Oryzias latipes: one gene and its partners. The protein of the gene in region 3 purifies or fractionates together with the protein of the main gene of each other region. This does not show direct contact. Links are inferred from orthologs where the notes say so. Each region holds a gene or a part of one and is shown on either strand. Other genes may lie near its edges.

Evidence for each region. The genes of interacting proteins can lie anywhere in the genome.
Region 1: the proteins of eif2b1 (region 3) and eif2b5 purify together in Homo sapiens (affinity purification with mass spectrometry; 7 studies listed by BioGRID and IntAct, counting the BioPlex papers as one, with this or other methods). This does not show direct contact. The link is inferred for Oryzias latipes from reciprocal best matches to the Homo sapiens genes EIF2B1 and EIF2B5.
Region 2: the proteins of eif2b1 (region 3) and eif2b3 purify together in Homo sapiens (affinity purification with mass spectrometry; 7 studies listed by BioGRID and IntAct, counting the BioPlex papers as one, with this or other methods). This does not show direct contact. The link is inferred for Oryzias latipes from reciprocal best matches to the Homo sapiens genes EIF2B1 and EIF2B3.

What each region holds. Positions count from the first base shown.
Region 1 is NC_019875.2:17,623,510-17,628,964, reverse strand, and holds the end of eif2b5 (translation initiation factor eIF-2B subunit epsilon), read left to right. Parts: intron 1-581; coding exon 582-894; intron 895-975; coding exon 976-1,121; intron 1,122-1,839; coding exon 1,840-1,984; intron 1,985-2,067; coding exon 2,068-2,169; intron 2,170-2,244; coding exon 2,245-2,346; intron 2,347-2,492; coding exon 2,493-2,583; intron 2,584-2,661; coding exon 2,662-2,785; intron 2,786-2,860; coding exon 2,861-2,986; intron 2,987-3,073; coding exon 3,074-3,184; intron 3,185-3,826; coding exon 3,827-3,889; 3' UTR 3,890-4,003; downstream 4,004-5,455. Other genes in the region: mitochondrial ubiquitin ligase activator of nfkb 1-A, read right to left, coding at 4,929-5,421. UniProt on the Homo sapiens protein: Acts as a component of the translation initiation factor 2B (eIF2B) complex, which catalyzes the exchange of GDP for GTP on eukaryotic initiation factor 2 (eIF2) gamma subunit.
Region 2 is NC_019875.2:24,327,241-24,332,839, forward strand, and holds part of eif2b3 (translation initiation factor eIF-2B subunit gamma), read right to left. Parts: intron 2,855-5,599; coding exon 2,695-2,854; intron 2,611-2,694; coding exon 2,499-2,610; intron 1-2,498. UniProt on the Homo sapiens protein: Acts as a component of the translation initiation factor 2B (eIF2B) complex, which catalyzes the exchange of GDP for GTP on the eukaryotic initiation factor 2 (eIF2) complex gamma subunit.
Region 3 is NC_019870.2:1,221,444-1,225,219, reverse strand, and holds the end of eif2b1 (translation initiation factor eIF-2B subunit alpha), read right to left. Parts: intron 2,414-3,776; coding exon 2,297-2,413; intron 2,225-2,296; coding exon 2,112-2,224; intron 2,042-2,111; coding exon 1,973-2,041; intron 1,900-1,972; coding exon 1,824-1,899; intron 1,046-1,823; exon of another isoform or gene 878-1,045; coding exon 752-877; exon of another isoform or gene 684-751; coding exon 528-683; 3' UTR 512-527; downstream 1-511. Other genes in the region: ATP-dependent RNA helicase DDX55, read left to right, coding at 3-295, 362-511.

The DNA.
Region 1 (5,455 bases), on a different chromosome or scaffold from region 3:
TGTCATTTTATTGCATTTCTGAATCTATGAAATCATTGGAAAATAGAATATTATGTTGTTAGCCTTCAAGATCTTACTGTAAAAAAAGTTTGCTGATTCTCTGAGTCACTTAACATACTCTTAACACTTAACATACTTCATACATCAAATTGACCCAGGAACATCATCTCTGTTCCTCACAAATGAACATAACAGGAGGGTTAACAATGTATTTATTTCAATTTATTTCTAATATAAGTCGCTGCGGAGTATAAGTCGCACCCCTTGCCAAACTATGAAAAAAGGGCGACTTATAGTCCGGAAAATACGGTAGTTGTGATGTAGATCGGCTACAATCGGCGGGCCACAAGCTCCCTGCTCCGCCTTATTCTGATGCATCTTCTTGTGGACGACTAGATCCATCTACCTCACAGTTTTCCTAGTCCGAGCTGGCATAGTTATTTTGATTTAGTCAAAAACGGCATAATCATAATTAAAAAATCACTAGGAAGACTTAATAGATCAAAGGATGATCGGAGTGGTACTTTCATTTCCGTCTTTGGTCCTTCTGCATGTGACAGTAATTCACTGTTTCTATTCAGATTCTGGGCAACCAGATCCATATGCACGTCACCACGGATGGCTACGGCGTGCGTGTGTCCAACCTGCTCATGTATGATTCGGTGTCGTCGGACTTTGTGCGCCGATGGGTTTACCCCCTCACCCCTGAGTCCAACTTCACCGACCGGGAAGGGCAGATCTGCACATACTCTCGGCACAACGTGTACCGGGGCTCTGGGGTCAGCCTGGGGCACGGCAGCCAGATGGAAGAGAACGTGCTCATCGACCGAGACACAAGCATCGGCGCCAACTGTTCCATCTCCAACAGCGTCATCGGCAACAACTGCACTATAGGTGAGCTCGCTGACAGGTTAACCCAACGGCGCTTCAAAGCCTGTCTGATCCTCTGAAATGTTTCGTCTTTTCCTGCAACAGGAGACAACGTGATCCTAGACCACGCGTACATCTGGAACGACGTCCACATTGCGAGTAATGTGGTGATCCGTCAGTCTGTGGTCTGCGATAAGGTCCAGGTCAAACAGGGTGTGACTCTCGATAAACAGTGCGTCCTGGCTTACAACGTAAGAAACGCACACAGCTGCTATCAAAATCTTCTCTTGTTGGCTCACATGCTCTGGTGTGGACCAAACAACTTTGAGCATGAAGTGCAATTCGTTAACGCAATTATTCACCAGAACTGGTGTTGGCGTGTTTTTACTGTGCATCCCTGAAGCCAACACAACTGGCTGTGTAACTGCTTACATTACTTGCTAAAACTTTTGTCTGTTTCTTCTTACTTTAAGGTTAAACAGCTTACTCTTTTTGTTCACCTTTAGTGAGTGAGTTAAAAATCTGAGATGATTTTGACTGAATTATACTTATTTGAAGTGTAATGGTTGTGTTCACATCACTGACTGTATAAGACAACTGTGAGTGTGACGTCACTCATTGAAAGTGACTATTTCTCCAAGGAAAAGTTGTGCTAAAATGAGGGTGTGGTCTTTTGATTGACATGGGACTGTAGCTTCCATATCAACGACATGCAAATGTACCTGTTTTCAGAAAGATTGGAGCATAATGAGACAAAATTACCGTCAAAACGGACTTTATCTTTCATTCATGCAGTCCGTGGCTCTTCTTCAGCACCTTTTGGGAGAGCAAATCTAGCTGCAGATGTAAAAACTTTTGATTTTTTTCTGCCCTTTTGGATCAATTTCCAGTTTTCTGTTTTTTTTAAAACGAGGCCCAAACTTTGTTTTCTCTGTAGGTTTTTTGTATTCACGTGAACTCTGTCTCCAGGTGGTGATTGGACCCAACGTTTCTCTGCCAGAGGGTACCGTGGTGTCGATGCATCATCCAGAGGAGGAAGAGGAGGAGGACGATGATGAGTTCCTCAGCGATGACGCTCAAGTTGACCAAGGCAAAGACAAAACCAAGCAGAAAGGTGCGTGCTGGCCTGAAGTGATGTGAAATCACCTGTTACTCCTTCATTGTTTTAGGAGATGACTTGGTGCTTCTTTTCTGTAGTTTTTAACCCAGCAGAAGTTGGGGCAGAAGGAAAAGGTTACATTTGGAGAGCCAGCAGTCTGGATGACACGGAGGAGGAGGAGCTGTCACATTGTCTATGGGGTAGGAATCTGTTTCAAAGCTCTCCAGTCTTTATTGAGTGTTATTGTTTTAAATTCTTTGCCTCATGTTGAGCAGGTTTGGTATTGAAGCCGGATCCTGAGAGCGACAGTGAGGACAGCGAGCCTGACGGTCCTGATGACCCAGTAATTCCCTCTCCTGAGATGGATGATGTCAAAGGTGAGCACTCCTAATGTTCGCCCTGCATGACTGCCCCCTACTGGTCAAACAAAAAAAAGCTCTCAGGGCTTTTTATGACAGAAATATATTTCTTAAATTTTGGAAGATTGATCCAAACAGTTAAAGAATTGCATAATTTTGTTTAGTTTTCCAGTTGGAGGTGCTTGGGACCCTGCAGAGAGGTTTGGAGGAGAACATCAGCTGTGACAATCTTGTCCTGGAGATAAATTCTCTCAAGTAAATCTGAGCCTTCTTGCAGTTTTGATGCTCTTTTTTTTACATCTTTGTTCACTGGAGCTCATTGTTCCTCTATAGGTATGCCTACAATATCACTCTGAAGGAGGTGATGCAGATCTTAACCAAAGTGGTGCTGGAGTACCCCTTCCAGCAGCAGGGCCCACAGCTCACCCCGTCCCAATATGTCAAACTCCTCCTACCGGTGAAGCAGCTTTCCCATTCCATCCCATTTCTTTAGAGGTGACTGTAGCTGATTATGATTTTTTTCTGTTTTCAGTTATTGAAGAAATGGGCTCCGGTGTTCAAAAACTACGTGAAGAGAGCTCAGGACCACTTGGACTGTTTGTCTGCGTTTGAGGAGCATTTCTGGGAACAGGAGAGCCACTGGGCGGCGATGGTTAAGGTGAGCCACCAGCAGTTACTATAAAGTGTGGAAAGCTGGCTGATTGTGGTTGTTTTGGCGTGTCTGAGGCTGTCGTCTGTCAATCAGGTGCTGATGAACATGTACGAGCTGGAAATCCTGGAGGAGGAGACGATACTGCGATGGTTCTCACAAGGAGCCACCACAGACAAAAGCAAACAGCTCCGCAAAAACCCGGGGGTGGGTGCTGCTGGGTTTTTTTTTATTTTTACAATTTTCTGGTTTAAATTATTCAGCTGTTTTCTTTTTAACCACATCCTCAGAATATGGGCTAGTTTATGATTTAAATGGTATCATTTCTTCTGGTGGTTGCTCTCATACTCTGTATTAATTATCATAGTTTTGGTATAGCTTAGTCACATTTCATTTCATTTTGCATATATATTTTTACCACTTAAGGTTTGTGCAGGGAAAAAGGTATTAACATTAATCGATTTTATGAAAAACTAAAGGTTAAATTGACACTAAGCAGAACAAGTTATTTCATTTCAGCTTGGTTTTCCGCTTATCCTAAAAAACATTTAAGTTAACTTATGGAAGAGGAAAATATTTGCCATTTTTGGCAGAACAGTTGCTACCATTGCAGACGTTCACCTTAGATTTTTAAAGTTACGGGATTTATTTTTGGATCTGGAGAAGAAAAACTTTGCAAGTCCTTAATTAAGTGGCTTGAAAAAAAGAATGTAGAGCGTGAGTTCAACCTGTTGGTCATTAGGATGGAGGACATAAATCCATTTTAAAACCAATAATTTAAGAAAGAAGTAAACTTAAAACGTAGGCTTATTTTAGAGCTTTATGCTTTTGTTTTGTGTTTCACTACAGCTTCAGAAGTTCATCCAGTGGTTGGAAGAGGCTGAGGAGTTTTCCGAAGAGGACGGCGAGTGATGAACTGAGTACAAATCATTTCTGTAAATACACCTGAGACTTTGTAGGTGAAGCAGGCATCCGGTTGAAGGAGATGTCGCAGCATCTGAGGACTGTTTGCAGCAACTGTCCAAATGGAATAAAAAACTTCCCTTTGCCTGCAGAAGCCTGCATGTTTCATTTATTTCTCAACACAAAATGCATCAGGATCAAGCTGTTGCTTTATTTAGTCATCACCTACTGCAAACGAGTTGGACCTTCAGAAAATGTTGGCTCAAACACAAGAGATACATTTATAAAAACCATAAGAGAATGTTTGACACGGAACAAGTTTCACCCTAAAATCAGAAAACACCGCTCATCCCTCATACATCTGTTTCAAGTAAGATTAAATGAAAATAATCCAAGGTAAAAGAAAAAGAGATTGTAACACCCACAGAATTCAGCAGCTAGAAAAACAAAATACGTTAAAACTAATAAAATATCTTATTTTGGAACTACAGACGTCAAGTTAAAATTTGTAATTAGTTTTATATTGACTCATTTTATGTTCTAAATTGAGGAACAAGTATGCATTTTATTTTATAGATGCTTGCTATATTCCCATTTGGTCCTTTTGGGTGTGAGTTTGTTCACATTTTATTTCAAATTATTAAATTATATTTATATTAGATGATAATTTTTGGACAAGTAATCCAGACCAGTAAAGGAATGACTCAATGTTTCATACAGATATTTTTAGACAATTTCTGATTAAACAAATTTTAAAAAATTCTCTTGTAAATTGGAATTAAATTTCCAGCTCATTTGGTTTTTTCTATATTTATAATTTCATGGAATGCTTTTTGGAAGGTTTTGTAATGTGTGCATTTTCATGTGCCCTGTCAAACAGGACACTTTATGGGGAAAAATATTCAATTAAAATACAAATGCATTAGTTTAGCATCAGGAATGTGCAGTGGACCCCTGAAGCAGCGCTAGCTGTGGCACCACCTGGGCAGGTTTTCAATAAAGCAAAAAAAAACACCTGGGCAGGTTGGACACCTCTGCATCCTCAAGCCTATTCGGACCTGTCATCCTTCTTTTCAAAGTAACTGTACACAACAGTAGTGAGGATGGCGGCACCTGTGATCCCCGTTATGGCAGACAATGACTGCCACATCTTAGCAACTCCCTCGTGTTGGCCGATGAAGCCTTTGTGGTCGGTGGGCGTCAGGAAATACTTGCGGCCGTCCTTTGGGGCCTGCAGCCTTATCACCTGATCCCCTTCCAGCACCAGCTCTCCAAAGCCTGTCACAGTGGTCCCCACACGAAGCAGCTTCTCCACCTCCTCCAGCGCCACAGGTTTCTCACCCGTCAGACCCTGCACAGCTATCTCCACCAATCCCTCCTCGGCACGTCTAATTCTGTGGTGAACGGTCTCCAGGATACCACTTGAGGCCTCCAGAGGATCTTGAACTTTGACATAAACATCAGGAATGTAGGATTCAGAGCTAACAAGGCTGAAAGGCACAAAGTTGTTGGTCTCCGTCTTGTTGGTCGTCTTTTCTATCCTGGAAAAAACAAACAAACTTTTAGACAGTGAGC
Region 2 (5,599 bases), on a different chromosome or scaffold from region 3:
TTCAAAAGGATTAAAAAAAAAAAAGTCCTGCACTGAGTTGCTCTGCAGGTGTTTGTCAAATGAACAAATGTATTTATTCACATATCATTTCCCACGTGTATGTCTCTGTGAGAGCAGAATGGGTGTTAATATTACAGGAACACCCAGCCTGTGACATCACCGTTTGGCAGGCGGTCAAAAACTCTGGATAAGTCATAATCAGGTGGCCGGCCCATGCGATAAGACTGTGCAACTGCTTTTCTTTAAACCAGCAGAAACAAAATGTTATTTTGTGTTGTTGCGGATAAATTAGATTTTTTTCCCAACACATTACCTTTCCTCCCAGGAGAAGGACGCACCTTTCAGTATCAACAAGCTCATCTGAGCAGGGATTTGAAATGGCCTGAAAGGGCATTTTTCCTCACAGAAATCCACTTTACAGCATCTCACTGAGAAGGGTTCTGGGTTCTCTTTTCTTTAGCTCTGTCATTTCTCTTTTCTTTGTGCTTGTTTTTTGTATATTTTATTATGAGGGGCTTATTTAATTATTTTATTACATGTGTGGGGATTGGTTTTATTGTATTCTTGTTTGTTTTATATGGAAAGCACCTTGAGCTGTCTGTTTGACATGAAAGGTGCTTTATAAATAAAATTAATTTGAAAAAATGGCCGTTCACTGACAGAAAAGTCAGATGCAGCTAACAGTTCTATCCCCTTTTTATTTATGTTCCAAAAATCATTTAACCTTTATTTAAGGGTCAAACTCACATTACCACCTTAACCTATTAGTAAGCTTTGCTGTGAGTGGACTTGAATTGAAATTGTAGAAAATCCTGCCGTTTCTTTTCTTTAATTTGTTTATAAATCATTATTTTTGTTTATGAATATGTTTAAAAATTAAAATACAACAAGATTTGCTTTGATCAAATGAGCTCCTTTATAAAAACCTCGCACACTCCAGCTAATAAAGACAATAATATGAAAGAGAATCAAACCACTGCAAGTAAGATTTAGAAAGTGATAGGTCTCAGAAACTAAACATATTTGGAAGATTTGGCTTTAATGAACCATATTTTGAAAGCAAAAAAAGACACTTGACAGGGCTTTCACTAGTTTTTTTTCTTAGGGAAAGCTTTAAACACTTTTTTCTGGATGTAATCTGTTTTATTTTGTCAAATTTTTCAAAAATTAAAAACCTTTTTAGAAAATGTTTGGAGAAGACACTATGGGTTCCTTTTATATTTAAAACATTGATCCTGCTATAATGTTGCATAAAGAAGTTAAAAAACATTTTAAAGCCATGTTGTGATTGGGAAAGCTGTTTTTATTGTACTGGTTTACAGGAAAACCTTAAACCAGTCTGTGTATAAATAATGATGGGGGTCTAAATAAATGTAGGGTTGAACCTTTAAACAGAAAGCCAATTGAAACACTGTTACTATCTCACGCTGAAAAGTTAACCAATTACAAAGGAGATGGCGATGGAGTGGGCGGGACATCATCTATGATGGATTGCTTTCAGAAGAGAGGTAAACGAATAATTATGAAAGTAATAAAGTAAAAATAAAGCAATTATGGTTTAAAGCTTTATAGGATTAAGATGAAATTCCTTTAACATGGCATTATAGTTTATTCAAATAAAGAGACATTTAGTCAAGAAAAAAATCCCTTATTGCAAAGCAATCTTGGATATTTCAATCTTATCGGTTAGTAAGATCACTAAAACACAGCGGTTGTGCCACCATCAGAGAATTTTCATTTCTGTAGGTTATAAAGTGTATTGGGTCTTTAGGAAGGTGGAAAAGTGCTTTACAAGTATACACCCATCAGCTACCATCAAATTTACAGTAACCTCAAAAAGTACAGCAAAATCATTTGGACTAAGACTCCCTTAACTGCAAAAATAACAAAGGTGCAGCTATTTACAGGTTCTGTGAATCAGTCTCCTTGAAATTATTTTTGGAAATTGACAAATTGTGTTTGTATGCCCTGCTGCTAAAATCAAAAGAACAAACACACAAAAAGCAGGTAGACGTGCTAGTGTGGCTCTAAAGTCTGCGTGCCAGAGCATGCCGAGCAGCTGCTCTGGTCAGAATTTACAGTGGCTTTGGCTCCATGAAGTATTTACGAGCTCCCAAACACCCGCTCTCACACTTCCATGTGTTTTAGCATTGAGAAAGGACAATCCACCCAGAGAATTTACTTTAACATCTCACACACTCATACACACCTTCAGTAAAAGCCTTGGCACAGTTATATGCTGAGCCCAAGGACGACTTCTAACAAGCAACAGCAACTTTAGGTACAGATTTAGCTTATTTAAAAAAAAACAATGCGATTAAATGTTGGAGGCCTTTTCGTTGCAAAAGGTTTCAAATCAGTTTGATCCACCTGATACCACTTGAGCTGAGCATCAAGACAGACCTGATTAGGATTTCACGGGAAGGTGACACATTATCTTGTGGATTCAAAACTGTGCATGCTTTGTCAAATTTGTCATCACCTTTTAGCTGACTTACTTTCTAATGACAGACTTCCTAAGGGAGAGGCCGTCCTCTAGGTCTGCTTCATTGGCCATGAAGAGCAGCCGCTGCCCTGACTGATCCACACCCACAAAGTCTCTCTGCTCCGCTTGAATGCCAGACAAGTCGACAAAAAAGAACGTTAAAAAAAAGTTGCGTTTGTAAAAGGGATTTGTTTGTTTTTTCCTGTTACCTGTCTTTTTCTTGCCCTTCTGCCCCGGGACAGTCTCTGTGAATTCATGGGCTTTGCTCATTAACATGGCTAGTGTTGCATTGTGGGCCCTGAAAAGGTCGACCACCTCATGAAGCGCCACATCCGTTATCAGGTCACAGCTCACAACAAGGATGTCAGTCTGGAGAGAAAGTTTGGAGACAAAAATGTGACGGTTAAGCAATCGTTTATTTACTATGGTGTAAAATATGATTGCATGTCTCAAACAAACAATAAAACTGTTTAATGGAACTCAGGAAAACTGTAAAAAAAAAAAAAAAACACATTAAATAAATTAACAAGTTTATACTAAAGCAGGTTCGGTTATTTTAAGGGGGCCTTAGTGAAAATGTTTACTGCAGAGAGAACAAACTGTTCTATAATCTCTTAAAATAAAGTACAAACTTACATTGATTATACTTTTGCCTGCTTTGTACTATTTTCTGTATTTTAGTTTAAGAGCAGTGCAGTATTATAAATAGTTTATAAAATATTGCTTGTTACTGGTAATGTTTTAAGAAAATTAGCATTAAGGAATCAACAACAAAAAAAAAGAAAAGTTTTAGAATAGATTGATTAAATCAGCATAAAAGTTAAAAACCCAGCAGAATGATTTGTTTAGTTTCTGCAACATTTCAATTATTTACAGTATCTGTAAAAAACAAAACAAAAAACGGTTAAGAAAAAGTAAAACGAATATTTTTCTGCAATCCTGAACTTCAGCTTTAAAACAAACGACTGATATTGTTAAAGTCCCTTTATTGTAAAGATGAATTCTAAGTGGCAAATCCTAATCCAACATACGCAGAAAGTAAAATAAAAACAGACTCTGATCAGTCAATTTAACCGATTTCAATGGAAGCCACATGTCTGCACTTGAGCGTGTGTGCTCCTTGGTGGGCGTGCCCAACATTTGTGTGTCTGCGGTATCCATCTGCCTGTCCAGTGATGAATGCTGTCAGCATAGAAACTAATCCCACCATTAGCGCCAGCAGCTTTAATGACAGAGACATTGTTTTCCTGTGTGTGACAGGAAAGACAGAACCGAATACCACCAGGCAACTCATGAAAAAAGGCAAATACTGAAACAAATGGATGTAAACACATTCTGATATGTGTATCGTAATACAATCTGACTGGGGGGGGGGCAGTTTTTGTCATTTAAACTTAGAGTGAAGTTTCATTTATTAAAGTAAAAGTTTATTAAAGGTAAAATCATTGCAACGATTCACGTTACCCATGATTCACTTCAAACTTGATCTTTAGGTCACAGTTTGTGTATTTCAGAGCAGCAACAACACCAACAACAAAAAACGAAAATATTCAGAAAACATTCTTTTTAAAATTTGCTTATAAGCAAGTAACAACAAAGAAAAACCTTTTAGTTGGCTTATTCTAAGCCTGGTTTAATAAAATAAAACAATAAATAATAAATCCTTCTTACACACTTGTTTGAAATTTTCCTCGTAAACGTTCTGGTAAGGATGCAACCATTCACATTCCCCACGACTGGGTTCAATGGTGTAACTTTACACAGAAAATTGTGGCATCCCTTGTTTGTATGTAGCATCACATGCAAGAGATAAGCTCCTTTTTTAGTCTTCGACATTTTGAAATGAAAACGGAATGATGGAGGCAACTACCGAGAGGTAAAACTTCTGGTTTTCAAAGAAATGCAGATTACTAAATAAATGTCTGTAATTTGATTAATGAAAACTCGGCTCTTATTCTGTGCGCGTAAAAGGGAGAACTGAGAGAGACGGCGAAGGGTCGCCAAGTTGACCTCAATTTAAATCCAACCTTAACCTGCTGTTGGCGACAGAACGCTGGACGTGTCTGCAGGACATCAACTGACACAGAGACTCAGGTTTTTCAGCTTCCCTGACAAGCGTGCACACATGTTCAGAAACAAGAGCGCACAAAGCTACGTGTGACTCCGTGCACAAACACATGTACACACAGACATCAATGGACACAAATGTGCTTGTATATAGGCCACACACAGGCGACAGCAGAGTGGAGTCAGCTGGAGAGACAGAGACACTTTGGCCTTTCAACAGCCAGGATCAGTGGACAGGTCAGGACCACACACACTGATGCTCACACACACACACACACACAACAACAAAAAGAGAGTCACATACTTGTCCAAATGGTGACCAATTTCAGCCACAAACTCCTAACAAATTACACAATTTTATAAACTTTGATGTTTTCTTCTCTTAAAGCTTTTTTTCTATATTGTTTTCCCCAAAACTGCCCAATTTTAAGGCCTTTAATTGTTTGCCCCGTAACCCTTCCTGCATTGATAACAGTAGCAACTCCCAAAATGTATATTTTTAATCATTAATCCTCATTTACAATCGCTGCAGAAGCGATTTTATGTTAATGCTTCAACCATATAGTACCTGGGTTTGTCTTCTTATACTGTGCCTTAGCAGGTTAACAAAAAAAGAATAAGAGACAACAGATGGATGGTTAATGCAACATAAGCTTAATAAAAGAAAAAAAAAGAAAAAGATGGAAAGAAATAAGTTGAGTCTTGTATGTTTGTCGAGTTCCTCCCATGAAAATCCTCCGCTTTGTCTCCCAAGCCGTTCTTTATTCCTTGCTACTCTAAAGTTTTACTAGCAGACTAACATGTCTTTGCTACAGATGAACCTCTGAATCAGAGCATATAGAGAAAAGTTTGTTTTGTTGGCTTATGCCGACTCATTTTACCAGGTGGTTAGGCGGGAAAAATAATGGAAATGTCAAAAGGCTTGAAGCATGCGAAGCACAAAGTGCTTGCAAAGACCTCCTTTCACTAGTTGAGCTTATTGTGAAAGATCGGAGCATTAATCAGTGCATCCGTCTGGATTTGTGCAGCGAACTGTTTGAAGTCAGG
Region 3 (3,776 bases):
AGATCTGGACTTCGCCGCCTTGGCGCGCGGCTTCGGGCTCCTCCGGCTCCCGAAGATGCCGGAGCTGAGGGGGAAGACCTTCCCAGATTTCCCTGAGGCGGCGGTGGACACGGACGCCATCCCGTACAAGGACAAGAACAGGGAGAAGCAGAGGCAGAAGACGCTGGCAGAGCAGAAGGACCGAGACGGGCCGGCGCCGCCCAAGAAGAACTTCGCCAAGAACAAAGCCTGGTCCAAACAGAAGAGCAAGAAGGAGCGGAGGAAGAGGAGGGCAGTGAAGAGGAAGCACGAAGAGGTGAGCGCTGACGGCTGGAGGCCGTCTCTGCGAGGACCGACGGTTTAAGCTCCTCCTTCTCTGCAGGGCAATGATGATGAGGAGGAGGCGCTGGAGCTCCTGAACGACACGCGCCTCCTGAAGAAGCTGAAGAAAGGCCGGATCAGTGAGGAAGACTTCGAGCAGCAGCTGACCGACGGGCCGAAGAGCAAACGGGACGCAGAGGCCCCTCTCTGAACCGCTTTATTGACATTTATAGATATAATTTGATGAGTTCGTCGCTGACGGCGGACGGCGTGAGGACGCCCAGGTCCGTGAACAGGAGGGTGATGAGGGAGGGGGGCGTGTAGTCGATGACGGGGTGCTCCTCCGACAGGTTCTGCCTCTTCTTCAGGGTGTCGGCTTTGTACTGCGGAGCAGAAACAGACGTGAGGGCGGGGCTCGCCCATCCAGGAACGCCGTCAGAGGAGGTCTGACCTTGAACTTGTCCGGGACGTCCTGCTGGTTCAGCGGGTACAGCCGCACAAACTTAAAGCTCTCCGCCACCACGTAGAAGGGCTTGTTGTGAGCTTTGGAGCAGAGCGCCATCTGATAGGTCCCGATCTGAAAGGACAGACGCGCCGAGGTCATTGAGGGCAAACGTCCCGCCACCACGTCCCGTCTGACTGAAAAGAGTCTCCATTCTCAAAACTAAACTGGTATCTGATAAAACAATGATTAAATCTGCTGTTTTCTATCAAAATAATTTGAATAAAAAGATTTTTTAACTGATTCTGAAAAAGTCTGAATCTATTTTTCCCATAAAGCTCGTTTGATGAAACAAAACCTTTACCCCTTGTGCTATCTTAGATGACCCCACCCTTACTTTGACGTGTTCTCCCTACCATGACAAAGGTGGATAAAGGTGGAAAGATTTCATGTAATCCATGGACACCAGAGAAGATCACCAATCATTGAAGAAAAAAGGTTCAGAGCACTGTCTAGTGGGTCTAGATGACCCCACTGTCTAGTGGGTCTAGATGACCCAACTCCCAACGTTAAAGTGCCTAGGATAGCACAAGGGTTAACTGAACCCTTTACCTGCAAAGGTACGCTTGATTTATTCACCCAGCTGTCCAGGCATTTCCATCATTGTTGGTACTTTTTAGATCTGAGTATTGTCAGATTTCCTTTTAACAGAAACAATAAAAAACTTTAAGTTGTCTCTTTGAGTCACTGTAAACTAATGACACGTCTTTATTTTTATGTTTTAGTTATAAATATCTGAATGAAGGATGCACTGACCAAAGAACACTTTGAGTTTAGCTGTTTCTCTAGGACGATTTTGGCGACTAAAGAAACTTTTCAGGCGTGTTTCTAACGCAGCTCCACATGCGGTTAAAAACACGCCAGTTCAGGATTCATCAGACGGTGACGGAGGAGTTTCCGCCCGTCCGCCTGCAGTCGAAGAGCGAACCACATGTTCACTGTTTCTGAACTCCACAGTCTGAATAGGTTTGCAGTTTAGGTCCAAACCCACCTCAGAGACTCCGCCCCTTCCACGCCTCACCTTGTTGATGATGCCGCCGCTCTCCACCACCCCCTCTGCTCCAACGATGACCAGATCCACCTTCTCCAGGACGTACCTGAGAACAGCAGAGCATTGAGGAGGACGCGGTGCATGATGGGAAAAAACGTCTGTAACCGAGCAGGCTTCACCCCACAGCGGCGTCCAGGACCACGGTCACCGGGACGTGGAGCTTCGCCAGCTCCGCCGCCATCTGCTGCCTGAGAGGAAGAGGAGGAAGTGAGGCTGTCTCTGCAGCACAAAAACGTGCGCACGCGCGTGCACACTCACCCGGCGGCGTCGGGCTGAGACTCGGTCACGTAGACGGAGAAACGCTTCTTCTCCATGGCGGCTTTCTCCAGAACCCGCAGCACCACTCGGGAGAAGGAGTGGGTCAGGATTTTCTGAGGATCATCAGCAGAAGAATGAGAGAGCGGCAGGACGGCGAGCGCCAAGAGGGAGCGGCGGGAACTCACGGCGCCGTCTTTGATGAAGGTGTGACACAGCTTGGCCACTTTATTCCTGGACATGGAGATCTTCTCCAGAAAGAGCTCTCCTCTCTCCTCCATCACCTTTTTACAGCGGGACAAATCCTGAGGACCAACGAGAAAACAGCCGTTTCAGCCAGAGACCAGCGCCACCGCAGAACACCAGCGCCACCGCAGAACACCAGCGCCACCGCAGAACGCCAGCGCCACCGCAGAACGCCAGCGCCACCGCAGAACGCCAGTGCCACCACAGGCAGCAGGAAACGACCATCCAGGTTCAAAGCGCCACACAAAAAAATACAGAAAAAAAAAAGAAGTTCGGAACATTTGGAGAACAAAGTTGTAAAATTAAAGGTAAAAAAGGTCAAACAATTTTTAAAATGGTCATAAAACTGTGAGTAAAGTTGTGTATTTATGAAGGTAAAGTAATAAAAGAAAGATGAATAGAATAACATTTTTTAAAAATGAAGTTGTAATTTCATGAAAATAAAGTTTTAATGACACAAAGGATTTGGTTTCTTTACATTTCTGTTCAAGGAAAAATGTAAACTTCTGATTTGCCCAAACGGCCGTGATGACCCTGAATGCACCGTCTTCTCTCCCCGTTTAAAGCCCAGGCTGAGAAAAACTTTGTTTTTTGGGGTTTTTAACATCTTGTGGCTTTTTTCTGATGATGGAGGACATAAAGAAAATTCAGCTTAAAACTGCATTTCTGAGTATTTCTCTAATCGTGAAGCAGAAGCAGATGAAAAAATGCAGTTTGAAAAAGATTCCACTTAGGATGTAGAAAATACGCTGGGCGGGGCCAAAGTCTGGGCTGCAGATTAGCCGCAACCCTTTGGTTGTTGGACGACCTGCTCTACCTGTATGGAGAGAAATTAGACTCAGTCGGATTTGTGCGTGCGTAATTCTTGCTTTGTGCGTTTGTAAATTTGGATTTGTGCATAAATTTGGATTTGTGCGTGATTTGTTACTCACATAATACGTTTTGTGTATAAGTTCAAAAAAACATAAAATGAAAAATATGCAAAATGCAATTTACGTATGCACAAATTAAGATTACAACAGCTTGAAACTACTTACACACACACATCTTTAAAAAACACGCACGAATCCCTTGTTACGCACACACGAAGCCAAAGTTACGCACGGATCTACCATGAGACTGTTTTCACGTCTCACAAACGTATCCGTAAGTGCTGCGTTTGAATACCAGTGGAATGCTCGGTCATTAGAATTTTCTTATCAGCCTTCCCTTCTAAACGTTTTTCCTTCAGTGGGTGTAGCAGGGCTTTAAAAAACTTTAAAGGAAAATAAAAATTATTATCTGAGAATATGACGTTCACTTTTAAACGCTAATATATATGTTAAAAGTATATTATTCTCAGAGACACCGAATTGATACCACGACCAGTAGGGGGCACTGTTTTTTTTCTTCCGGAAAAATCAAAGGCAGTCAGACTGAGAG